2 linked regions of the Elephas maximus indicus genome follow. The protein of the gene in region 1 binds, or shares a complex with, the protein of each later gene. Links are inferred from orthologs where the notes say so. Each region holds a gene or a part of one and is shown on either strand. Other genes may lie near its edges. The genes, in order: NOD2 and MAP3K20.

Evidence for each region.
Region 2: NOD2 (region 1) and MAP3K20 share a complex: the UniProt entries of both Homo sapiens proteins name them as parts of the signaling complex. The link is inferred for Elephas maximus indicus from reciprocal best matches to the Homo sapiens genes NOD2 and MAP3K20.

The regions. Positions count from the first base shown.
Region 1 is NC_064839.1:17,191,055-17,203,066, reverse strand, and holds the start of NOD2 (nucleotide-binding oligomerization domain-containing protein 2), read right to left. Parts: upstream 4,812-12,012; 5' UTR 4,733-4,811; intron 1-4,732. UniProt on the Homo sapiens protein: Pattern recognition receptor (PRR) that detects bacterial peptidoglycan fragments and other danger signals and plays an important role in gastrointestinal immunity.
Region 2 is NC_064824.1:71,224,781-71,236,039, forward strand, and holds the start of MAP3K20 (mitogen-activated protein kinase kinase kinase 20), read left to right. Parts: upstream 1-6,832; 5' UTR 6,833-7,202; intron 7,203-11,259. UniProt on the Homo sapiens protein: Stress-activated component of a protein kinase signal transduction cascade that promotes programmed cell death in response to various stress, such as ribosomal stress, osmotic shock and ionizing radiation.

The sequences.
Region 1 (12,012 bases):
CCAGACGACTCCTTTTCTTTCCTGGGCACCCTCTCTCCACGACCACCCATTAAGCTTGGGGGAACATCAGGGCCAAGCTGTCCGTGGGCAGGTCTTGAGCTGGACTGACAGGCCTGGATCTGTCCACAGACCCCACCACTGGGGAGACCCCGAACAGATGGACCAGAAGTCAGGGTTGGCTGGGCAACCATCCAGAATGAGGTTATTCTCAGCAGTTCTGACACAGAGGCTTGTGCATCCGCCATCACCCTCGCTGAGAAACCTCACCAGCGATGTGAGACACACCCACAGATGTCCCCCGCCCCACACACCCACAGGGGGACATGCTGAGAGTCACTGGGCCTCTTCCCAAACACACCAATTTGGGGGCAGCTTACAGAGGCTCTAGCCACAACCCACTCAGGGTAGTGATGTCAGGGCTCTGTTGTCACAGTCATCAGAGACTAGAAGGGAGGGATAGGTCCTAGACATGAGGCCTGACATTCTGTCCTCCCATCAGCAGATGGAAAGTCCCATCTCTGTCCCAGCCTTCTTCCAGAAACCTCAGAGTAGGAAGAATCCCCGAGGATCAACTCAGCCAGCCCCCTGACCCCAAACAGGCGTTGTCTTGTCTCATGGTAAACATCCGGGGAGGAGGACCTGACATTGTTGCAATCCTCACTAACTAAATCAGGAAGTTCTTCATAATGTCTAGCTTAAGTTTTTCCTGCTTCCCTTTAAATTGGGAAAAGGAAAAAAGATGTTCACCCACCACTTATTTCATAAAGGCTGTCCCTAAAATCCTGTCCCTTCCCTTCCTCTCTTCAGATTAAACAAATCAGTCTATGTCCACTGTCTTCTTATTTGCTTCATTCACAACTTTGGAGTCATTACTGCCCTTCCTCAAGGAAAGTGATCACTTGCCCTTCAGTTGATTCCGACTCATGGTGAGCCCATGTGTGTGCAGTAGAAACGCTCCATGGGGTTTTCAAGGCTGTGATCTTTTGGAAGCAGATTGCCAAGCCTGTCTTCCGAGGCACCTCTGGGTGGGTTTGAACTGCCGGCCTTCAGTTAACAGTCGAGCACGTAACCATTTGTGCCACCCAGGGAAAGTGAGGCTTGTGCAAAGAAAGGGCAGAGGGGCACTTTCTTGCTGGAACACAGGGTCAAGCCAAGGGAGTGGCCCTTGGGGACCCGTCCTTGTCCCCATGCCCAGTCCTCGGCCCTGGCACTGCCATCCTTCCTGAGACCGCAAGGCAGGCCTGGGTTTCTCTGGGGCCATGTGCCAGTTACAGCACTGAAATCCTAGCCCACTGCAGATGGGAGAGGAAGGGAGGGCCCGGGAAGCCCACTTCTGAGCTAGGCTGGCTCTCAGCGGGGTCCACATCTCCGCTGGGGTACTGGGCCCACCTCCTTACCTCCTCCAGACACCCTCCATTCTCTGTCCTCTTCACCCAGCTTCTCTCTCTAGAACACCATTTCTGAGTGGTCCTAGACAGACTATAATTTCTCCCATCTTAAAAGTAAAGCCCCTCGTCCTTTCAGCCACAGTCCCACCTCTCTGTCCCCTGTGCAGCAGGACTCCTAGGCAGTAGTTTGTATGACTTTTCCAAGTCCTCACCTCCCATGCATTCTGATAGATCTTTCGCCCCACCCCTTCCCCAGGCTGCTGTTGCCAAGGTCACCAGTGATGCCACCCTGCTCATGTCTCAGCCCTCTTTTCTCGCTCGCTCTGCCCAGGGTATTTGCCCAATTGTATCCTCACTAGCATCCAGGACACTCCACCCTCTGGGTTTTCCTCGCACCTCACTAGCTGCTTTTTCTCAGTCTCCTTAGCTGGATGCTAAAGTCCGGGAGAGTTGTGAATTTGTAATCTCTTCTCCAGGTATCACTGTCTCTCTAAGTGAGCTCACCTGATCTTATAGCTTTAAATATCAGCTACATGGTGATGGGAGCCCTGATGGTGCAGTGGTTAAGAGCTTGGCTGCTAACCAAAAGGTCAACAGTTTGAATCCACCAGCTGCTCCTTGGGAACCCTACGGGGCAGTTCTACTCTGTCCTATAGGATCACTATGAGTTGGAATTCACTCGATGGCAATGGGTTTGGTTGGGTTTTCATGATGATGGGCCTGGTGGTGCAGTGGGTAAGCACTCGGCTGCAGTTCGAATCCACCAGCCAGCTTTGGAAACCCTATGGGGCAGTTCTGCTCATTCGTATAGAGTCGCTGTGAGTCGGAATCAACTTGACGGCAACAGGTTTGGTTTATATGGTGATATGAGTTCCTGGGTAGTGCAAACAATTAAGTGCTTGTCTGTAAACAGGAAGATTGGTGGTTTGAGTCAACTGAGATGTGCCTCAGAAGAAAGGCCTGGTGGCCTTCCAAACAGTCACTGAAAACCCTGTGGAGCACAGTTCTACTCGGACACACACAGGGTCACCATGAGTCAGTCTACTCAACAGCAAGTGGTTGGGGTTTATATAGTAATGATGCCCCAAATTTTATTTCCCGACTGCCTGCTAGACATCTTCAGATAGATGTCTAATCAGTATCTCAAATTCTAAAAATACAAACCAGATTCCTGATCTCCCTCTAAAGAGCTCCTGCCACCAGCTTCCCCATCTGTTGATGGCAGCTCCAAACTTCCAGGTACTTCAAGCCAAAAACCTCGGCATCTTCCTTGACTGCACCCTTTCTCTCACACCCCATATCCTATTAACCCTAATGTCAAAAGAGATCCCAAATCTGAAAATCTGGTAATTTCTCACCACTGCTATGCTGCACCCTAAGCTCCATGGCCTCGCCTCTGAATAGCAGCTGGGGTCGCCTCGCTGGTCTTCCCCTCTGCCCTCACCGCCCTGGTCTATCCTCCCCCCCACAGCCAGGTAAACCAGCTAAACCCTAAGTTAGAGCAGCTGCCTCCCTGCTCCAGTGGCCTCCGTCATATTCAGGGTACAAAGCAACACCCTTACAGTGACCTTCCAGCCTTACACATTGGACGCCCCCTCTCCCAACCCTCTTGAACTTATTTCCTACTAATCCCCCTCCCCCACTCTGCTCCAGCCAGCCACACACACTGGCCTCCTTATTTCTAGAACAAGCCAGGCTTGCTCCCTCCCATCATGCTTCTGCCTCAGGGCCTTTGCACATGCCCTCCCTCCCCCCAGAGATCCACAGAGCTCACCCCTCACCTTCTCCAAGGCTTTGCTCAGTGGCCACTGTCTTGAAGAGGCCTTCCCCAACTACGCTATCTAAAACTGCAATATCCAAGCCCAGCACCTCCTGACCCTCTTTCCTGCTTTGTTTTCTCCGTAGGACTTCTCACCACCTGACACACTATGTATGGACTTATTTGATCGTTGCCTGACACACTCCTGGAATGTGAACTCCGCGAGGAACGGGGAGTTTTGTCTGTGTGCTTCATTGCTATATCCCCCATGTCTCATTCAGTGCATCAATAAGGATTTTTTGAATGAATGGGTGACTTTACTTTGCAAGGTTCCAGGAGGCACAGGTGGGACCCAGGTGGAAGCCGCACCCTGCAGATTTTGGCTAAATGTCAGGAGAGCCGCAGGACTCAGAAAAGGCACCTTGTAAGTAGGGAGCTCCCCGCCACCGGCATGTGCCACAGAGGCTGGGCCAGCACTCAGCTGGGATTCTGCACTTGGTGGGCGGGGCTGGAGGCCACAGTGAGCTAAGGTCCTTTCTGCCTCAGATCCCAATACACCAAGAGGCAAAGGGGCCTTGAGTGACCAGCAAACCAGCAGAGTGATAGGAGAAGGGTCGTGGGAGTGCCTCTCCAGTCTCTTTCACCAAGGGCCAAGTTAGGGGTACAGTAGCGGTGCTGGGGAAGGCTTTTGCCCTCTGTGCAACAAGGACCTTGGAGGAGGCTAGGCCACAGCCCATGGGGAGACAGAAGCTTTGGGCAGGGAGATGTCACAGGGCTGGGAGACAGCAAGAGAGGCAAGGGCAGACTCAGAGCCAGGGGTCCAGCTGCCAGCCCTCCTCCAGCTAAGGGAGACCCTCCCCAGGGGAGCTGGGGAGGCTTTTTTAGTTTGTGGGAAAGCTGGTAGGACCGGATGGCTGCTCCACCAACACAGCGGCAGAGGGGAGGGCATATGGCAGAGGGGAGGGCTCTGGACAAGCCTGGAGTGGGCCTGTCTGGGCAGGGGTGGGGGATGAACTGGGGTCTCACACCCACGGAAGGGGGTGGGGCAGAGGACGCAGGGACTCTTACGAGAACTAAAGAGCCCAAGGAGGTGTTAGGGAGCAGCTAGGCAGACTCACAAACACTCACAGGCTTGGTAAAGTTGGGGAAACTGAGGCCCAGAAAGAGGAAAGGACTGGGCAAAGAGTGGCCCCCACTGAGACCTGAAGCTGTTTCTGATTCCCATACCCAAGCGGGGCCCTGTGCCTCTGGCCTTCACATCCTCCCGCCCACCAACCACGCGACTCCCCAAGTCAGCTGGTCCCCTAATCTCAAAGGTTCCTGGGGGCTCTCGGACGTCCTCTGTAGCCGCAGACCGCCTGGGGGCTCCCCGCCCTGGAGACGCCTCCTTTCCTTCCGCCCCCCATCTACTCCTCAGAGCTCACCAAGGGGAAACCGAGGCAGCCCCTCTACAAACCCAAAGGCTGGGACGGCTCTGGAGCCAGGTGTCAGACTCGGGAGGCGGGATCCTCGGCGCCCACCGTCTCCCCGCCGCCCAGGTGTTGGGCGCAGGTGCGCAGGTAGCGCGCCCTGAGCCAGCACTCACCGCAAAGCCGCCGGTGCCCGGTTCCTCGACCCCGGCCTGGGCCACGATTCCGGCTTCGGTTCGGGCTCAGGCTGCGCGGGCGCCCGGCTCCGCCCCTGCGCTCCCCACTCCGCCCTCCTCGGCCCGAGCGGGCCGCACCCCCTGGGAGTGCCCGCCTCCCCGCCGGCAGGAGCTCACCTAGGCTGGGTGACTGACACCGGCTGGGAGAGCCGGCCAGCGTGTATCTCTCTTCCGTCACATTTGAACTAGGAGACGGACGAGGGAGTCTTGGAACACCCCTCCAACGCGCGCGCACCCACACACATACACAGTCTCACAAATGCAGTCACACACACACTCTCCCCCCACACAGAAACACACTGTCCCACACACTCGCTTACACACTCTTACAAACACATAGTCACACACACTCGCCCACACACACTGCCTCTCTCTGTCTCTCACACACACACACACACACACACACACACACACGGTGGTATCCTGTGAAATGAAAAGCTGTTGGTGTCAGTATTAATCAGTGCACCTTCAGGCAGTCAGTAAGTCCAAAAGAAAGAAGAGTCAGTAAGTCCACAGCCATCTAAAGCCTTAAAATTGCAAAGCTCAGTTCCCTGAACAGCGTTTCCGGAGTGTGATGGGTTACATGTTAGGTGACCCTGAGCCAGGCATGACATAGAAAGGAGTCATGTGACGGTGAAGTTCCTCTTTTTTCATTTTTCTTTCCATCTTTCTGTTTAAGTCCAGGAGAGACATCTCCGTTTAGTGCTCCTTGTCTAACACTGTCTAGTCTCCTCCACTGGCCACAATATCTGACTAGAATTTGATACCGCGGATTTGTTTTCATTAACTGTTTCTCAGAGCAAGTGACCTGGTTTTCCACTTAAGGTATTAATATAAAAGTTCCTTTAAAAACACGTGCATTTGCCCGGCTACCACCCGTGACCATCCTGACAGGGAACACAACAGAGAGTCCCTGACGGAGCAAGAGAAAAGTGGATGCAGAACTCAAGTTCTAGTAAAAAGAACAGACTTAATGGTCTGATTGAGACTGGAGGGACCCCAGAAGACATGGCCCCAGGACTTTCTGATAGCCCCAAACTAAAATCACTCCAGAAGCCAACTCTTCAGACAAAGATTAGACTGGACTATAAGACATAAAATGATATCTGTGAAGTGCATGCTTCTTAGCTCAAATACTTACATGAGACTAAGTGGGCAGTTCCTGTCTGGAGGCGAGATGAGAAAGCAGAAATGGACAGGAGCTGACTGAATAGACACGGGAAATACAGGGTGGGAAAGAGGAGTATGATGGCACATTACAGGGAGAGCAACTAGGGTCACATAACAATGTATGTATAAATTTTGTATGAGAAACTAACTTGAACTGTAAACTTTCATTTAAAGCACAATTAAAAAAAACATGCATTTGGATTTGTAAAAAATGTGAAGTCGATTTAAAGAAATATAATGGAGACAACTAATTTTACAGAGTGTTTACTAGGTGCCAGGCTTTAGTACAAGTATTTATGTATTATATGAATACATAGTTGTTGTTTTAGGCACTGTCTAGTCGGTTCCAACTCATAGCGACCCTACATACAACCAAACGAAGCACTGCCCGGTCCTGTGCCATCCTCACAATCGTTGTTATGCTTGAGCCCATTGTTGCAGCCACTGTGTCAATCCATCTGGTTGAGGGCCTTCCTCTTTTTCGCTGACCCTCTACTTTACCAAGCATGATGTCCTTCTCCAGGGGATGGTCCGTACTGATAACATGTCCAAAGTATGTGAGACGAAGTCTCTCCACCCTTGCTTCTGAGGAGCATTCTGGCTGTACTTCTTCCAAGACAACCATTAGGGAAAAGTAAATCAAAACCACAACGAAATACTACTTGCCCCACTAAGATGACTATAATCAAAAAGGCAGGTAATAGCAAGTGTTGGCGAGGATGTGGAGAAATTGAAACCCTTCTGTGTTGCTGGTGGGAATGTAAAATGGTACAGCTGCTGTACAAAACAGTTTAGCAATTCCTCAAAAAGTCGAATACAGAGTTCCCGTACAACTGAGAGATTCACTCCTAAGTGTATACTCAAGGGAATTAAATACATGTTCACTCAAAAACTTGTACAGGAATGTTCATAGCAGAATTATACTTAATATCAGAAAGTTGGAAACAACTCAAATCTCCATCAACTGATGAATGGATAAACAAAAGGTGGTATATCCATACAGTGGAATACTATTCAGCCATAAAAAAGGAATGAAGTACTGATACACACTACAACATGGATGAACCTTGAAAACATTAAAAGAAAAAAAAAATTTTTTTTTTCTTACACTGAGTAAAAGATACCAGACACATAAGGCCACATATTCTATGTTTCCACTTATATTAAATGTCCAGGTTAGGCAAATCCATAGAGACAGAAAATAGATTAGTGGTTGCCAGAAGATGAGGGTAGTGAGAGTAGGGGGTGACAGCTAATGGGTACAGGGCTTCTTTTTCATGTGATGAAAATATTCTGCAGGTAGTTAATGGTGATGGTTTCACAACCTTGTGGATCCACTAAAAACCACTGAATCGTACGCTTTGAAAAGGTGAACTTTATGGCATATGAATTCTAGCTCCATAAAAAAAGTGGGTTGTCCACCAGGATCAAAGGAGAATGAAAAACACCAAGGTCACAAGATAACCATGAGCCCAAGAGACAGAAACGGCCACATGAACCAGAGACTTACATCATCCTGAGACCAGAAGAACTAGATGGTGCCCGGCCACAACCGATGACTGCCCTGACAGGGAGCACAACAGAGAACCCCTGAAGGAGCAGGAGATCAGTGGGATGCAGACCCCAAATTCTCATAAAAAGACCAGACTTAATGGTCTGACTGAGACTGGAGGAATCCCGGCAGCCAAGGTCCCCAGACCTTCTGTTGGCACAGGACAGGAACCATTCCCGAAGACAACTCATCAGACATGGAAGGGACTGGTCAGCGGGTGGGAGAGAGATGCTGATGAAGAGTGAGCTACTTGTATCAGGTGGACACTTGAGACTGTGTTGGCATCTCCTGTCTGGAGGGGAGATAGGAGGGTAGAGAGGGTTAGAAACTGGAAAAATTGTCACGAAAGGAGAGACTGGAAGGGCTGACTCATTAGGGGGAGATCTCGTAAGTGGGAGTATGGAGTAAGGTGTATATAAGCTTATATGTGACAAACTGACTTGGTTTGTAAACGTTCACTTAAAGCTCAATAAAAATTATTAAAAAAAAAAAAAGTGGGTTGTAAAGTGTTTCGTGTAGTATGCTCCTATTATGTTATCTGTAACATAAACCTATTAATATATGCATTGAAAAATCCAAAAGATTATCCTTTCAAATTCATGGTTGGGTTGTAAGTGGATTTTTTAGCTTTTTATTGTTGTTGTTAACCTGTATTTTATGCTTAACCTGTGTATAGGCATACACCGTTATTGTTGTTGTTGTTAGTTGCTATTGAGTCAATGCTGGCTCACAGCGACCCCATTTGTGCAGAGTAGAACTGCTCCATAGGGTTTTCAAGGCTGTGACCTTTTGGAAGCAGTTCACCTGGCCTGTCTTCCAAGGCAACTCTGGGTGGGTTCAAACTGCCGACATTTCTGCTAGTTGAGCACTTAACTGTTTGTGCCACCCAGCGCCTCCAAGCATGTGTTACTTGCAAAATAATAATCTTCAGAAAGCTTTCTCTTCAATGAGCTAAGGAGCATCTCCCTGGCTGCAGAGCCCTATCCTAGAGATGGCAATTGGGATCCTAGTGACTTTTCTGCCCACAGGTTCTCTGTCCTGGGTACCGGGGGGACAAAGCCTCCGGGCCTGGGCCTTTCCTCTTCTAGGGAAATCTTCTAGGTTGTGACATTTAAAACTCTCCGGGGCGGGGTGGGGGGAAGGTTGGCAGAGGAGCAGGTTTGCCGGCTACCTGTGCACGAGAGCTGCCCCCAGGAGCCAGGACTGTTTCCAGCAGACCCAGGCCCAGAGCCAGCTGCTGCCAACCCAGAAGGTGACCCCAGGCTTGCACTAGGTGACTGTCTCTCTGCCGGTCTCCTGTTCCAGGCAGCCCAGAACAGGCCCCTCCCCACCCACCAGAGTCCAAACTCCTGTACAACCAGGCCCAAATGAGTGAATTTGGGGATGATCTTCCCACTACCCACTCTCAGCCACACCAGCTTCCTTACGGCTCTTGGTATCCCTACCTCTGTGCTTCTACTTGCTCTGTGCCCCAATGGGAGGCAACAGTTGGAAACAGAATGGATTTGGGACTCAAGCAAACCTGGATTTAAATCTCAGTTCTGCCACTTAGCTGTTTGCCCTTGGGCACATTATTTAAGCTCTCTTGGCCTCAGTTTCCATACGGTTAGGAGGGAATAAAAATTCAACATCTTAGATATTGTTATTTATGAGGAGTATATATATATATATATATTAGAACCTGCCATATTTCCTGGCACATACACCAAAACCAAACCTGCTGTTGTCAAGCCAACTCGTGGTGCCCCAGTGTGTTACAGAGTAGAACTGCTCCGTAAGGTTTTCTTGGCTGTTTTTTTAATCTTTTCTGGAAGCAGATCACCAGGCCTTTCTTCCACAGTGCCAGTGGGTGGGTTCACGAAGTGAGCACTAGGAAGTCAAAAGGCAAAAACCAGTTGCTATTCAGTCAATTCTGAATCACGGAGACCCCATCTGTGTCAGAGCAAAATTGCGGCCTAGTGGTGAAGGGCTGCGACTGCTAACCAAGAGAGTGCAGTTCACATCCACCAGGCACTCATGGAAACTCTGTGGGGCAGCTCTACTCTGTCCTATAGGGTCGCTATGAGTCGGAACCGACTCGACGGCACTGGGTAGTGGGTTAAGGTTTTCAATGGCTGATTTTCTGGAAGGAGATCACCAGGCCTCTCTTCTGAGCTACCTCTGGGTGGACTCGAACCTCCAACCTTTTGGTTAGCAGTTGAGTGTGTTAATCATGCGCACCACCCAGGGACTGTTGTTGTTATTAGTTGCCGTCAAGTCGATTCTGACTCATAGCGATCCCACTCAATAATGTGAATAAATTAGCATTTACTGATCATCTACTGTATTCCAGGCACTGTACATCCATTCCTCACATACTCCTCACAACACCTTTACGGAACGCTTAGGTGCAGGAGGCCCTTTAATTTAACCTCATGTTGCAATTAGGGAAACTGAAATTGAGAGCGTGGTAGTGATCTGCCCAGGATCACACAGTGGCCACTTGTCGCCCAAATGGCCTCTTCTCTGCATCCACTCACTCATTCACTCAACACTTTCTTACTGAGCACCTGCTGCGTGCAGGCACTGTGCTAGGGGATGGGGGTGGTGTGCCAATGTCCCTGCCATCGTGGCGTTTGATACGGGCAACAAACAAGTAAACAAAACAATGATAACTCTCCGAAGAGGGGTCAGGGAGAAGGCCGCAGGGAGGAGAGACATTGAAGCTGACCCCAAAGAGTGAGAAAGCGACAGCCCTGGAAAGAACGGAAGGAATCGCAAGGACAGAGCCCAGAGGTGTGCTCGAGGGGGAGAAAGTGGTTTAGGAGGGCTGGTTGTAGCAGTGATGCTGGGAGCGGTGAAAATAAGGTCAGCAAGGGAGGTGAGTGGCAAATCAAGGAGGCCTCTAGGCCCCAGTGAGGTGTTGGGGTTTCCTCTGAAGGTCACGGGAAGCTACTGAATGGTCCAAGCATGGGAGAGACGTGCTCTGACCTTGATTCTAGAAGAGGCACCTGAACTCTGAGATACCAGCATTCCCCTTCCTGACTCCCCAGTGGCCCTGCTCACCACCTGGGTTCAGTGCTGCACTGGGGGATGCCCACTCCTGTGCCCTCTCTCGATGGCAGCAGCCCTTGCCTGCTTTCCTCCACCGTGTGGACCTGTGTGCTGTAGAGGGCACAAGAAGTTACAAGCTGCACAAGTTGTCCACCACTCTGGAACAATGTGGTGTGATCTAGCACAGTTGAAGCTATTCATGCTCTAAGATCCATCAACTTCAACCTCAGAGAAAACACATGCCCTTAGATGCCCAGAGGGTGGCTAAGCATGGCATCTGGTCACTCTGGTCCTACCACGTCCTTTCTCCACAAGCTAGACACCCCCTCCATGTCAGGGGGTTTCCACAGAGGATCTCCTGCCCCCAGAAGAGGAAGCAGAGCCTACCACATGTTCTTCCCCTACGCTTGCTGGCTGCCTGGTGAAGGGGTCACACCAGGCATAGGGCTACAGAGAAGGGCTACAAGTCTCTCCTGGTGTCTCACAGATTCCAGGTCTGCACAGGGCAGGGCAGAGAGTGGGAGAGAAAGTAGGAAAGCTGCAGAACGCTACCCAGAGAGAAGAGAGACAGGGCATTCCAGCCTCGTTGTACACAATGCTAGGCCCTCTGTGACGAAAAGGCAAGTAAGACACTCCCGCTGCACACAAGTGGCTCACCGCTAGCAGGCCAGAGGCACACTATTCATGGTATTCGCCCTGAGCACTGCCCAGAAACAAACTCTTAAGTATGTGGATACTCCTTACGACAGCGATGGCACTGCAGAGCAATGGGATTGGATGGTCATTTCAATAGAAAAGGTCACTAGGTAAGCACGGGGTGGGATTGGAACTCCTACCTCACACCATACACAAAAATCTACTCTAAGTGCATTATTATAGAGCCCAAAATGAGAAAGGCAAAACTATAAAGCTTTTTGCATAGCAGTGATAGCCAGTATTTTTACAGCACTTAATATATACCTATAGAGTCACTATGAGTCGAAATCAACCCGATGGCAATGGGTTTGGTTTGGTTTTTTGGTCATATGTACCAGCAACGCTCTAAGTGCTTTGCACATCTTGACTCATCTAAAGCCTCACAAGCTCCTATGAGGTTGAGGAGGGGCAAATAAAGGAGAAATTGCCGTGACTTTGAGGTATGGTCCTGGCCATAAAGGAAAAGATTGATATGGTCGAATACTTTAAAGTTACAATTCCTTTTCATCAAAAGACCCCATTAAGAGAGTGCACATAAACCTCAAGATGGAAAAGAATATTGAGAAGTGCAAATACCCAAATGAATACACAAAAAAATCTACAAACCATCAAGAAAAGAATCCAATGAGCAATGGACTTGTTCAAGACATTTCACCCAAGAGAGTGGATATAAGGGTGGCAAACAAGCAGCTGAAAAGACACCCAAGATCATCACTCATTAGAGAAATGCAACTTCAAACCATGATTTGTGTCATGAATTGAATTATGT
Region 2 (11,259 bases), on another chromosome or scaffold:
ATAGAATTCAACAACATATCAAAAAAAAAAATTCACCATGACCAAGTGGGATTTATACCAGATACGCAGGGATGGTTCAACATTTAAAAAAAATTAACGTAATTCATCATATAAATAAAACAAAAAACAAGAATCAGAAGATTTTATCAATTGATGCAGAAAAGGTATTTGACAAAGTTCAACACCCATTCATGATAAAAACTCTCAACGAAATGGGAATAGAAGGAAAATTCCTCAACATAATAAAGGGCATTTATACAAAGCCAATAGCCAACATCATCCTGAATGAAGAGAGTCTGAAAGCTTTCCCCTTGAGATCGGAAACCAGAAAAGGATGCCCTTCATCACCACTCTTATTCAACATTATGCTGAAGGTCCTAGCCAGAGCAATTCGGCTAGATAAAAAAATAAAGGGCATCCAGATTGGCAAAGAAGAAGTAAAAGTATCTCTTTTTGCAGATGACATGGTCTTATACACAGAAAACCTAAAGAATCCTCAAGAAAACTACTGAAAGTAATAGAAGAGTTCGGCAGATTATCAGGATACAAGATAAACATACAAAAATCAGTTGGATTCCTCTATACCAACAAAAAGAACATCGAAGAGAAAATCACCAAATCAATACCATTTACAGTAGCCCCCAAGAAGATAAAATACTTAGGAATAAATCTTACCAGAGATGTAAAAGACTTATACAAAGAAAACTACAAAACATTTCTGCAAGAAAACAAGAGACCTACTTTAAGCCGAAAAACATACCTTGCTCATAGATACGAAGACTTAGCATTGTAAAAATGTCTATTCTACCAAAAGTGATCTATAGATACAACGCAATTCCAATCCAAATTCCAAGGACATTCTTTAATGAGATGGAGAAACAAATCACCAACTTCATGTGGAAGGGAAAGAGGCCCCAGATAAGTAAAGCATTACCAAAAAAGAAGAACAAAGTGGGAGGCCTCACTCCACCTGATTTTAGAACCTATTATACTGCCACAGTAGTCAAAACAGCCCAGTATTGGTACAACAACAGATACATGGACCAATGGAACAGAATTGAGAATCCAGACATAAATCCATCCACATATGAGCAGCTGATATTTGACAAAGGCTTGAAGTCAGTTAAATGGGGAAAAGATAGTCTGTTTAACAAACGGTGCTAGCATAACTGGATATCCATCTGCAAAAAAATGAAACAAGACCCATACCTCATATCATGCACAAAAACTAACTCAAAATGGACCAAAGACGTAAACATAAAAATCTAAAATGATAAAGATCATGGAAGAAAAAATAGGGACAACTTTAGGAGCCCTAATACATGGCATAAACCGTATACAAAACATTACTAACAATGCAGAAGAAAAAGTAGATAACTGGGAGCTCCCAAAAATCAAACATCTATGCTCATCCAAAGACTTCACCAAAAGAGTAAAAAGATTACCTAAACACTGGGAAAAAGCTTTTAGCTATGACATTTCCAATCAGTGCCTGATCTCTAAAATCTATATGATACTGCAAAAACTCAACTACAAAAAGACAAATAACCCCAGAAGAACTAGTTGGTGCCTGGCCACAACCGATGACTGCCCTGACAGGGAGCACAACAGAGAACCCCTGAGGGAGCAGGAGATCAGTGGGATGCAGACCCCAAATTCTCACAAAAACACCATACTTAATGGTCTGACTGAGACTAGAGGAATCCCGGCGGTCATGGTCCCCAAACCTTATGCTGGCCCAGGACAAGAACCATTCCCGAAGGCAACTCATCAGACATGGAAGGGATTGGACAGTGGGTAGGAGAGAGATGCTGACGAAGAGTGAGCTATTTGTATCAGGTGGACACTTGAGACTGTGTTGGCATCTCCTGTCTGGAGGGGGCATGGTAGGGTAGAGACGGTTGGAAGCTGGCAAAATTGTCACGAAAGGAGAGACTGGAAGGGCTGACTCATTGGGGGAGAGAAAGTGGGAGTATGGAGTAAGGTGTATATAAACTTATATGTGACAGACTGACTTGATTTGTAAACGTTCACTTGAAGCTCAATAAAAGTTAATTAAAAAAAAAAAAGACAAATAACCCAATTAAAAAACGGGCAAAAGATATGAATAGACACTTCACTAAAGAAGACATTCAGGAACTAACAGATACGTGAGAAAATGCTCATGATCATTAGCCATTAAAGAAATGCAGATCAAAACTACAATGAGATTCCATCTCACTCCAACAAGGCTGGCATTAATCCAAAGAACACAAAATAAGAAATGTTGGAGAGATCGTAGAGAGACTGGAACACTCATACACTGCTGGTGGGAATGTAAAATGGTACAAGCACTTTGGAAATTGATTTGGCGTTTCCTTAAAAAGCTAGAAATGGAACTACCAGATATCCCACTCCTTGGAATACATCCTAGAGTGATGTATTCTTACATCCTTACAGTGATGAATCTGTGAAACATTTCATAACATGGAGGAATCTGGAAGGCATTATGCTAAGTGAAATTAGTCAGTTGCAAAAGGACAAATATTGTGTAAGACCACTATTATAAGAACTCGAGAAATAGTTTAAAGAGAGAAGAAAATATTCTTTGATGGTTACGAGAGGGGGAAGGGAGGGAGGGAAAAAGAGGGGTATTTACTAATTAGATCATGGATAAGAACTATTTTAGGTGAAGGAAAAGACAACACACAATACGGGAGAGGTCAGAACAACTGGACTAAACCAAAGCAAAGACGTTTCCTGAATAAACTGAATGCTTCAAAGGCCAGCACAGCAGGGGTAGGAGTTCGGGAGCCATGGTTTCAAGGGACATCTTAGTCAATTGGCATAATAAAATCTATTAAGAAAACGTTCTGCATCCCACTTTGGAGAGTGGGTTCTGGGGTCTTAAACATTAGCAAGTTGTCATCTAAGATGCATCAACTAGTCTCAACCCACCTGGACCAAAAGAGAATGAAGAACACGAAGGACACAAGGTAATTATGAGCCCAAGAGGCAGAAAGGACCACATAAACCAGAGACTATATCAGCATGAGACCAGAAGAACTAGGTGGTGCCTGGCCATAACCAATGACTGCCTTGACAGGGGACACAACAGAGAACCCCTGAGGGAGCAGGAGAGCAGTGGGATGCAGACCTCAAATTCTTGTAAAAAGATCAGACTTAATGGTCAGACTGAGACTAGAAGGGCCCAGGAGGTTATGGTCCCCAGACCTTTTGTTAGCCCAAGGCAGGAACCATTCCCAAAGCCAACTCTTCAGACAGGGATTGGACTGGACAATGGGATAGAAAAAGATGCTAGTGAAGAATAAGCTTCTTTGATCAAGTAGACACTTGAGACTATGTTGGCATCTCCTATCTGGAGGAGATATGAGAGGGCAGAGGCGGTCAGAAGCTGGTGGAATGGACATGAAAATAGAGAGTGGAGGGAAGGAGCAGGCTGTCTCATTAGGGGGAGAGCAATTAGGAGTATATAGCAAGGCGTATATAAATTTTTGTATGAGAGACTGACTTGATTTGTAAAGTTTCACTTAAAAAAAAAAAAAGCACAACAAAAATTTAAAACCAAAAGCAGTTACAACAGTACGTCAGAAAAGGATGTGGAATGAGGGATATCATTGCTTATGTCACATGGATCTTGACTGAAAGCAGAGAATATCAGAAAGATGCTTACCTTTGTTTTATTGACTATGCAAAGGCATTCAACTGTATGGATCATAACAAAGTATGGATAACATTGCCAAGAGTGGGAATTCCCGAACACTTAATTGTACTCATGAGGAACCTGCACTTAGACCAAGAGGCAGTTGTTTGAATAGAACAAGGGGTTAGTGCATGGTTTAAAGTTAAGAAAGGTGTGCATAAGGGTTATATCCTTTCACCATACTTATTGAATCTGTATGCTGAGCAAAGAATCCGAGAAGCTGGACTATATGAAGAGGAACACAGCATCAGGACTGGAGGATGACTCATAACCTGTGATATACAGATGACATAACCTTGCTTGCTAAAAGTCAGGAGGGCTTGAAGCACTTACTGATGAAGATCAAAGACTACAGCCTTCAGTATGGACTACACCTCAACATAAAGAAAACAAAAATCCTCACAACTGAACCAAGAAGCAACATCATGATAAATAGAGAAAAGACTGAAATCAAGGATTTCATTTTATTTGGATCCACAATCAACGCCCACAGAAGCAGCAGTCAAGAAATCAAATGACGCATCACATTGGGCAAGATTGTTATAAAAGACCTCTTTAAAGTGTTAAAAAGCAAAAATGTCACCTTGAGGCCTATGGTGTACCTGGCCCAAGCCAGGATATTTTCAATCACCTTATATGCATGCAAAAGCTGGACAATGAACGAGGAAGACTGAAGAAGAATTGATGCCTTTGAATTATGGTGCTGGCGAAGAATATTGAACATACCATGGACTGCCAGAAGAAAGAACAAACCTGTCTTGGAAGAAGTACAGCCAGAATGCTCCTTAGAAATAAGCATGGTGAGACTTTGTCTCACATACTTTGGACATGTTATTAGGAGGGGTCAGTCCCTGGTGAAGGACATCATGCTTGGTAGAGGGTCAGAGAAAAAGGGGAAAGTCTCAACAAGATGGACTGACACAGTGGCTGGAACAATGGGCTCAAACATAGCGACGATTGTTAGGATGGCGCGGGACCAGGCAGTGTTTTGTTTAGTGTTTGTACACAGGTTTGCTGTAAGTTGGAACTGATTCGATGGCACCTAACAACAACAATTGGTTAGAATTAACCAAAATGATTTCAAAAAGATTGGATAGTTTGAAAGAATAGAGTCAGTCACAGGAAAAGGCATTGGACAATACGTTTAGGGGCCAAAGAAATCTGCATAGTCATATGGAAGCAAGTAGCTTAATGAAAGAAAATTAGACTTGTGGCAATTAGTTCATCACACAATTTTTATGTATTTATTTCAGCTATGGACAGATATAATAGAAGATAAGAATAGCCTCAAGGAATTTGCAGTCTAATTACGAAGACCCGAGAATGCCTACCAGATTATTGTTAAAGCATGTTTGTGAGACTACTCTACAGTGTTTATTGTTCTTGCTGGCTATTCTCTTAGCCTAATAATGTGGGGAAAATAGAATAAAGGAGAAGTAGATGGGAAGGAAGGGGAATGTGGCTAAGAAACATTAAGACTCTTATGGCATGCAGGCCAAACTTAAAGCAATACATCCATGGTTTTAAAGCTGGAAACTGCAAGTCTCTTATTTTGCAGACAAGGAAACTGGGGCCTGTCTAGCAAAACTTCCCAGCTGTTCAGTGGCTGGACTCAGGACCTTCCTTGACCTGCAGCCTAGTGTCCTTTCTGTCACAATAAAGTGTCCTTGAAGGTGAAATAAAATGATTGAAGTCTCCTTATACCTGGGTCTAAAGAGCTTTAGTTTTCCCTTTGATGGTTGGATGGTTTTTAAGAATTACTTGATTACCTAAATCAGGAATTCTTTTTTTGTATAACAGTTTTCATGAATCCTCATACCTTGGTTATGAAAACAGAAAACTATTAATGCTAAAATTCCCAGTCCTTATCAAAGAGAAAATTCAATAATTAATGTGAGTAACAGACTAGAAATTTTTTAACATATATTCACCAATCCCTCCACTTTCATGTCTTGAACCTATACGATGATTTGCAAATTTTATATTTCCCACCTGTCCTCTTTTATGAATTTCAGTTTCATGTTTCAGCCACCACATCTTTACCTGTTTTCCTCCCATGACCTAGAACTCAACATGAAGCCAGCCAGCTTCCCCTCCACACATCACTATTTCTGTCAATGACACTATCATTCTTCCAGTCATGCAATTTTGATCTTGGCATCATCTCTGGCTCTTCTTGTCTTCCACATCTATTGGGTCACTAATTTCAGTGGCCTCTTGCTGAAAAATCTCTCTCAACTCCATTTCCTCTTTTCTAATCCCATTTGGTACACTCTAACCTAGGCTCTCATAATCCTGTAACTGCTTCCCAGTTTTGCACTAGCAACCCACCCTGCAACCGTTGTAGGAAGAACGTACCCGTTGCCGTGGAATCAGCACCGACTCACAGCAACCCTACAGGACAGAATAGAACCATCCCATAGGGTTTCCAAGGAGGGGCTGGTGGATTTGAAATGCCAACCTGTTGGTTATCAGCTGAGTTCTGAACCACTGTGCCACCAGGGCTTCTCTAAAACATCATCAGAACAAAAACTTTATTCTCTTGTTTCTGACTTTCCACAGTTTCCCTGTAACCAGGGAGTGTAAAATTCAAATTCAAAACCCAGAATACGTGACCTATACCTTTGCAACCTCAGCTCACACTTTCCTCCACAGAACCATCCTCCCCCAATCAACAGTCATTTTTCTTCCCAATACCCATTCCCACTTTTTGCCCACATCCGAAATGGATTCTAGTTCCCTCATCTGATTTCTGCTCTGTTAAAACCACCAACCAGAGCAGTAGACCATGACCCTTCCTCGAAATTCGAGAAGGTACCTACTGTTGGTTCTACCGAAGCAGCCTTCATCCCTATCTCCTCAGGAATATCTTTGTATGTCTACTCCCTTCCCAATTTAACTTCTGTAGGACAGTAAGTAGTCTCCTATCTCTTTGTATCCTACTGCCTATCGCCACAGTAAATGTTGATGAGAACTGCCTTGATGGAATTGGTAGTGTTACTACCAACAAGATGGTAAGGTACAAAGGGGCGAAGAAGTCACTCCGCCCCCTTCCCCCCCCTCCGCCGTTCTCCCAACTACAGGGCAGGTGCACTTTGAGGACAGGGAAGTCCCCTAACAGCCCCCCGGGGGGCGCGCAGACGTCCTCGGTGGGTTCCTGGGCGGATCGCAGGCCTCGGTGATGAAGGCCCCGGAGGCCAGAGTTCGTTCCCCACGCCCGGCTTGCTGGCGTGTGTGAGCGGCTGCCGGGTAGGCGGGCGTGCCAGGCGAGGGCAGGGGGATTCCGCGGTTTCGCGGTTCCGCGGTCGGAGGTAGGTGGTGCTGTTGCTGTGACTGTCTTCCTCATTGGCGCCGGGCGGAGAGGCGGAATGTTCAACTCCTGACTCGGCGGAAGCGTGGAAGCTGCGCGGGCCGCCGTCCTCCCGGCCCTCTGCCGCCGTCCTCGCTGCGCGCGGGGCCTCCGCGCCCAGCTGCTGCTCGCGCCCGGTCGGGGAGCCAGGTAAGGGCCAGGCTGGAGGCCGCGGAGGCCAGGGAGGGAGGGAGGCAGGCCCGCCGCGCTCGCGAGTTGCCCCATCGTCTCGGGGCCGAGGCCCAGTTGGAGGCCGGAGTCCAGCGGGCCTAGGGGCGCCCCACAGGGCACCCCTTCCCGGGCCGGGCTCCGCCCAGGCGGTAGCGGCGGGAGTGAGCGTTCCCGGCTTTCGCGGAGCTCAGTGCTGGACCTCCGCAGCTCCGCGACCAAGTGCAGCTCGGGGAAGTTCGGGCCCGACAGACGGAGAAGTTGGCGCCGGAAGAGCGGGACGCAGTCCCGAGCGTCTCAGGCTTTCTCGGCCCTGGGCATGCAGCGCGGTCGTGGGACGCCTCGTCGCTCGCGGCGCTCCTCCTCCCGGGCCTCGCTTCCCATCGCAGAACACGGGGCCCGGCCGGCCGAGCCCTGGACCCCGGGGCGGGTAGCGCCGGACAGCCGGTTTGCAGGGGCGAAACGCGGACCTCCCAAATCAGGGCAGGATGCAGACCATTTCCCATCAGAGGTCTGTGCGTGCGAGCAGAGACGCCTAACTTCTGCTTTCTAGGGCACTCGGCCCAGAGTGGTATTTCCCACCGACAGTGACGGCTCCCTGCCCTTCCTGAGGCGTCCTTGAGCAACCTGGAGCTCGCAATCGCCCGCACACTCGAACTTCCCCACTTTACTTCCACGAGAGCAGAGGGGATCCCCTTGACTGACCCCTTGGAGGCCCCGGTTTCGTGCACGCTGAGACCTGCCGCAGGCCCAGAGACGAACGCTGAGGCTGCCTCCACGCCTGCTCGCTCGTGACAGCTATCCTAAAAACTTTAAAGCTCGTTAGATGACATTGAATTTCTTGAAAAATGGGGTGCTATTATTAGATTTTTCGACTCGTTTGTTTGTTTGTTTTGGTATTATTAGATTGCCGAAAATGTATGTTCCTGATGCGCTAGATACCTGGCATAAGCACTGTTATGGGGGACTTAATTACTATTTGTGTTAGTTTCTTCAATAATGAAATCAACACAGTTTAGTGGCCTATTCCAGTGTTATTAACAGTAAGCAGCTTGCAATACTGGTGTGTTAGAATCGTATTACAGAATTAATTTGAGGATATCTGAGTTAATATTGTTAAAGTAGACTTCTGTATTCACCCTAGAGCTGTTGTAGGAGAGCCTTCTGGCTTTCCTGACATTAACTAAAGTGAACAGCCAGGATTCAGTGGATCTAGACCTGCAACATATTTTAAGACAGGATTAGACAAGTGAGTCAAGGCCAGTTAATGACGTCTTTGTAATGGGACCATCTCTACAATGAAATTTCTTGCTGTTTTTTCATTTTAAAAAACGTATGTGATAGTGGCATTTAAATTATGGTTTTAGTCATTTGTAGAGCTTTTGTTTGCATTCCTGCTACAGTAGTGAGAGACTTGGGAGATTGCAAATGAATGTGAATTTAGTTTGTTTGGAAAGAGAATTCAGATAAAGAAAAATGGTCTTTTGGAGCTGTGTGTACTGCTAATTTTAATCTTTAACACTCTGATTCCTACTATAACTTTTTGGGGTTATTTTGGGAGTTTTTTGTTTTTTTATATATAAGCTGGAAAATATTGTTTAAATCCAAAGTTTTAGCAGTTATATTTCCAGGTAAGTGACCATAATGCAATGGCCAGGACATTTTTTTTCCTTGTCCAGGAAAGCAAATAGATGGTTGATCTCTTTTTCTAATTCTTTTAGGGAACACTTAGGTCACATTAAAGAGAGAGAGAGAGTAATATCCAAATATTAAGAATTTGGATCTAAAAATGGATGGTCAAAGATCTTGGGAACTAAGGGACCTTCTTGCCAAAAACAGAAACTTGGCAAGTTGCACTGTATATTTTAAGTCAGTACAAGAGTAAGTGTTATTGGCAATACATTGGCTGAGTGCTTATCTGGAATGAGTAGTGAAACTGACTTTGATAGGGCTACAAAACTGTGAACTGAAGTCATGAGGGGCATGGAGTGAATAATCCATTCATCAGAGAAGACACTTGAGAAATTACAATGACGTTTCTTGAAGAGTTCAGACATAAAGTGAAGCTATTAGTGTGGAGTTGAAAGAGCAAATGGATAGTTGATTCTGGAAATTGATAGATTCAGAGATGAGAAGGAGAGAATCTTTTTTTTTTTTTTCAAACAAGAAAAAAGTGTGCACGGTGATACAGTGTTGCTTGGAATAAGATTTTTAATATCTGTATCCTGAGGTGTAGGAAATAAAAATCAACCTGGATCATTTGTTTTCCATTTTATTCCACCCAGGAAAGATTGACAGGGAGGGTACCTTGTGTATCTAAATGTAATAGGAAGAGCTAAGGCACCTTTTGTTCTTACTACAGGGAAGATGAGGCTAATTGTCTTGTGTCTATTAGCCCTGCCCCACTGCACACAAATAAGCAGAGTTCCAGCTGTGGCCAGAAAACTGTACCTGTTAAGGGAAGAGAGCTATAATGCTAGCGCTTAGGTTGGTTTGATTGATACATGGGTGCTTTTGTGTGAAACACTGCTATGGACAGCAGAAGCATCGATTATGCCCCAAAAGTGGTTAAATAGTCCCTACACAGTAGAAGAGTCTGTGGGAGCAAAGCAGCCGCACATTTCACACCCTAACCCCAGCATCACAATTCCTAATAGGAAATTAAAGCCTCATTGAACTTAGGTGGATGCTAAGCAATCTAGCAATTACTGTAATAAGAAAAGGTCTGCTTAAAGTGGTGGTGGAGGAGGGAGGGAAATCAGAAGAAAGAGGCAGAATGAGATATAGTGGAAAAAGACTGATATGGCATGGTGGAAAAAATGATTATGACTTGGAGTCAGACCTGAGTTTGAATCCCAGTTGTACCACTTGTACATATGTAGCTTTCACACCCTTGATCCTTCGTTTCCTCAGATAGGAATTGGGGACAGTAATAGCTGCTTTATAAGGATAAACCTATGAGACATCACATGGATATGCTTGAACTAATGCCTGGAGCTTCAGCCACCATAGCTGAGTAGTGGAGAAGGCTGCTTTTCCACATTTCTCACAGTTTACACAGAGAAGGATATATCCAGCTGGGGCTTGCTCTTGGTAGCCTGCCCTGTCCCTATATCATACATATGTGTGTATGTAGGAGGTGGGACCTTTTCATAGTTAAACTCTCCTGCTTTGAGTTATAAGGATTTCTAAATTGGCTCTGTGTACCTCAATGTTTATATACAGCTTTGTAATATTCTTGAGGGAGGATCTGAAAATTAATGGATTTAAATATCTATATGAAAAATTTAGAAGTTGTATGAATAGGTGAAACTACTTAGAACGATTCTTAAAGCTGATTGTGAGCACAGCTTGTCTTCAGGGCCCAAAGCCCTTCTTTCTGGACTCACGTCTGGTCTTCCACATAAAAAAAAAAATATAGGAATACCAAAATGCGAAGGAAAGAATTGTTCTCTTCTACGTTCTCCCAAGATCTAAAGGTCATGGAGCAAATATTTGCTTATTAAACTTTTCTACCAAAGTACTCTACTGCGGGGAAGGATGAATGTGTTCCTTCGGGGATCTGTAAACACGACTATCGGTACCCCCACTGCAAGCAAGAACTCTCTTTGCAATCTCATTTTTTATCATAAAAATTCCTGTGGATTTTGCATTCTCTTCTATACTATTATTTTACTTTATTGATTAAGCCAGTACAAACAGACATTAAACAGATTTATTCCCCCAAATCTTAAAGTAAAATTGATCCTGGAGGATATGTGTTTATTCATACATCCTTTGTGCATTGCTATATGCTCCAGGTGAGGGAATACACACATTTGAGGAACGTAGGATTGGTCCCGATGAATGGAACTTCGTCAGTAAGTTCTGCCACCCGGCCCACTGCAGAGGTAACGCAATTTCGTTTTGCGGAGAAAAGAATAGGTAATCCGGATCATGATCCAAAGACTTTATTTCAGTGGTTCTACTGTGGTTTTCAAGATGAAGACAGCTCTTTGTTTTGGGAGTGGAAGGGGAAGAGTGAGTTGTAGGATGGAAA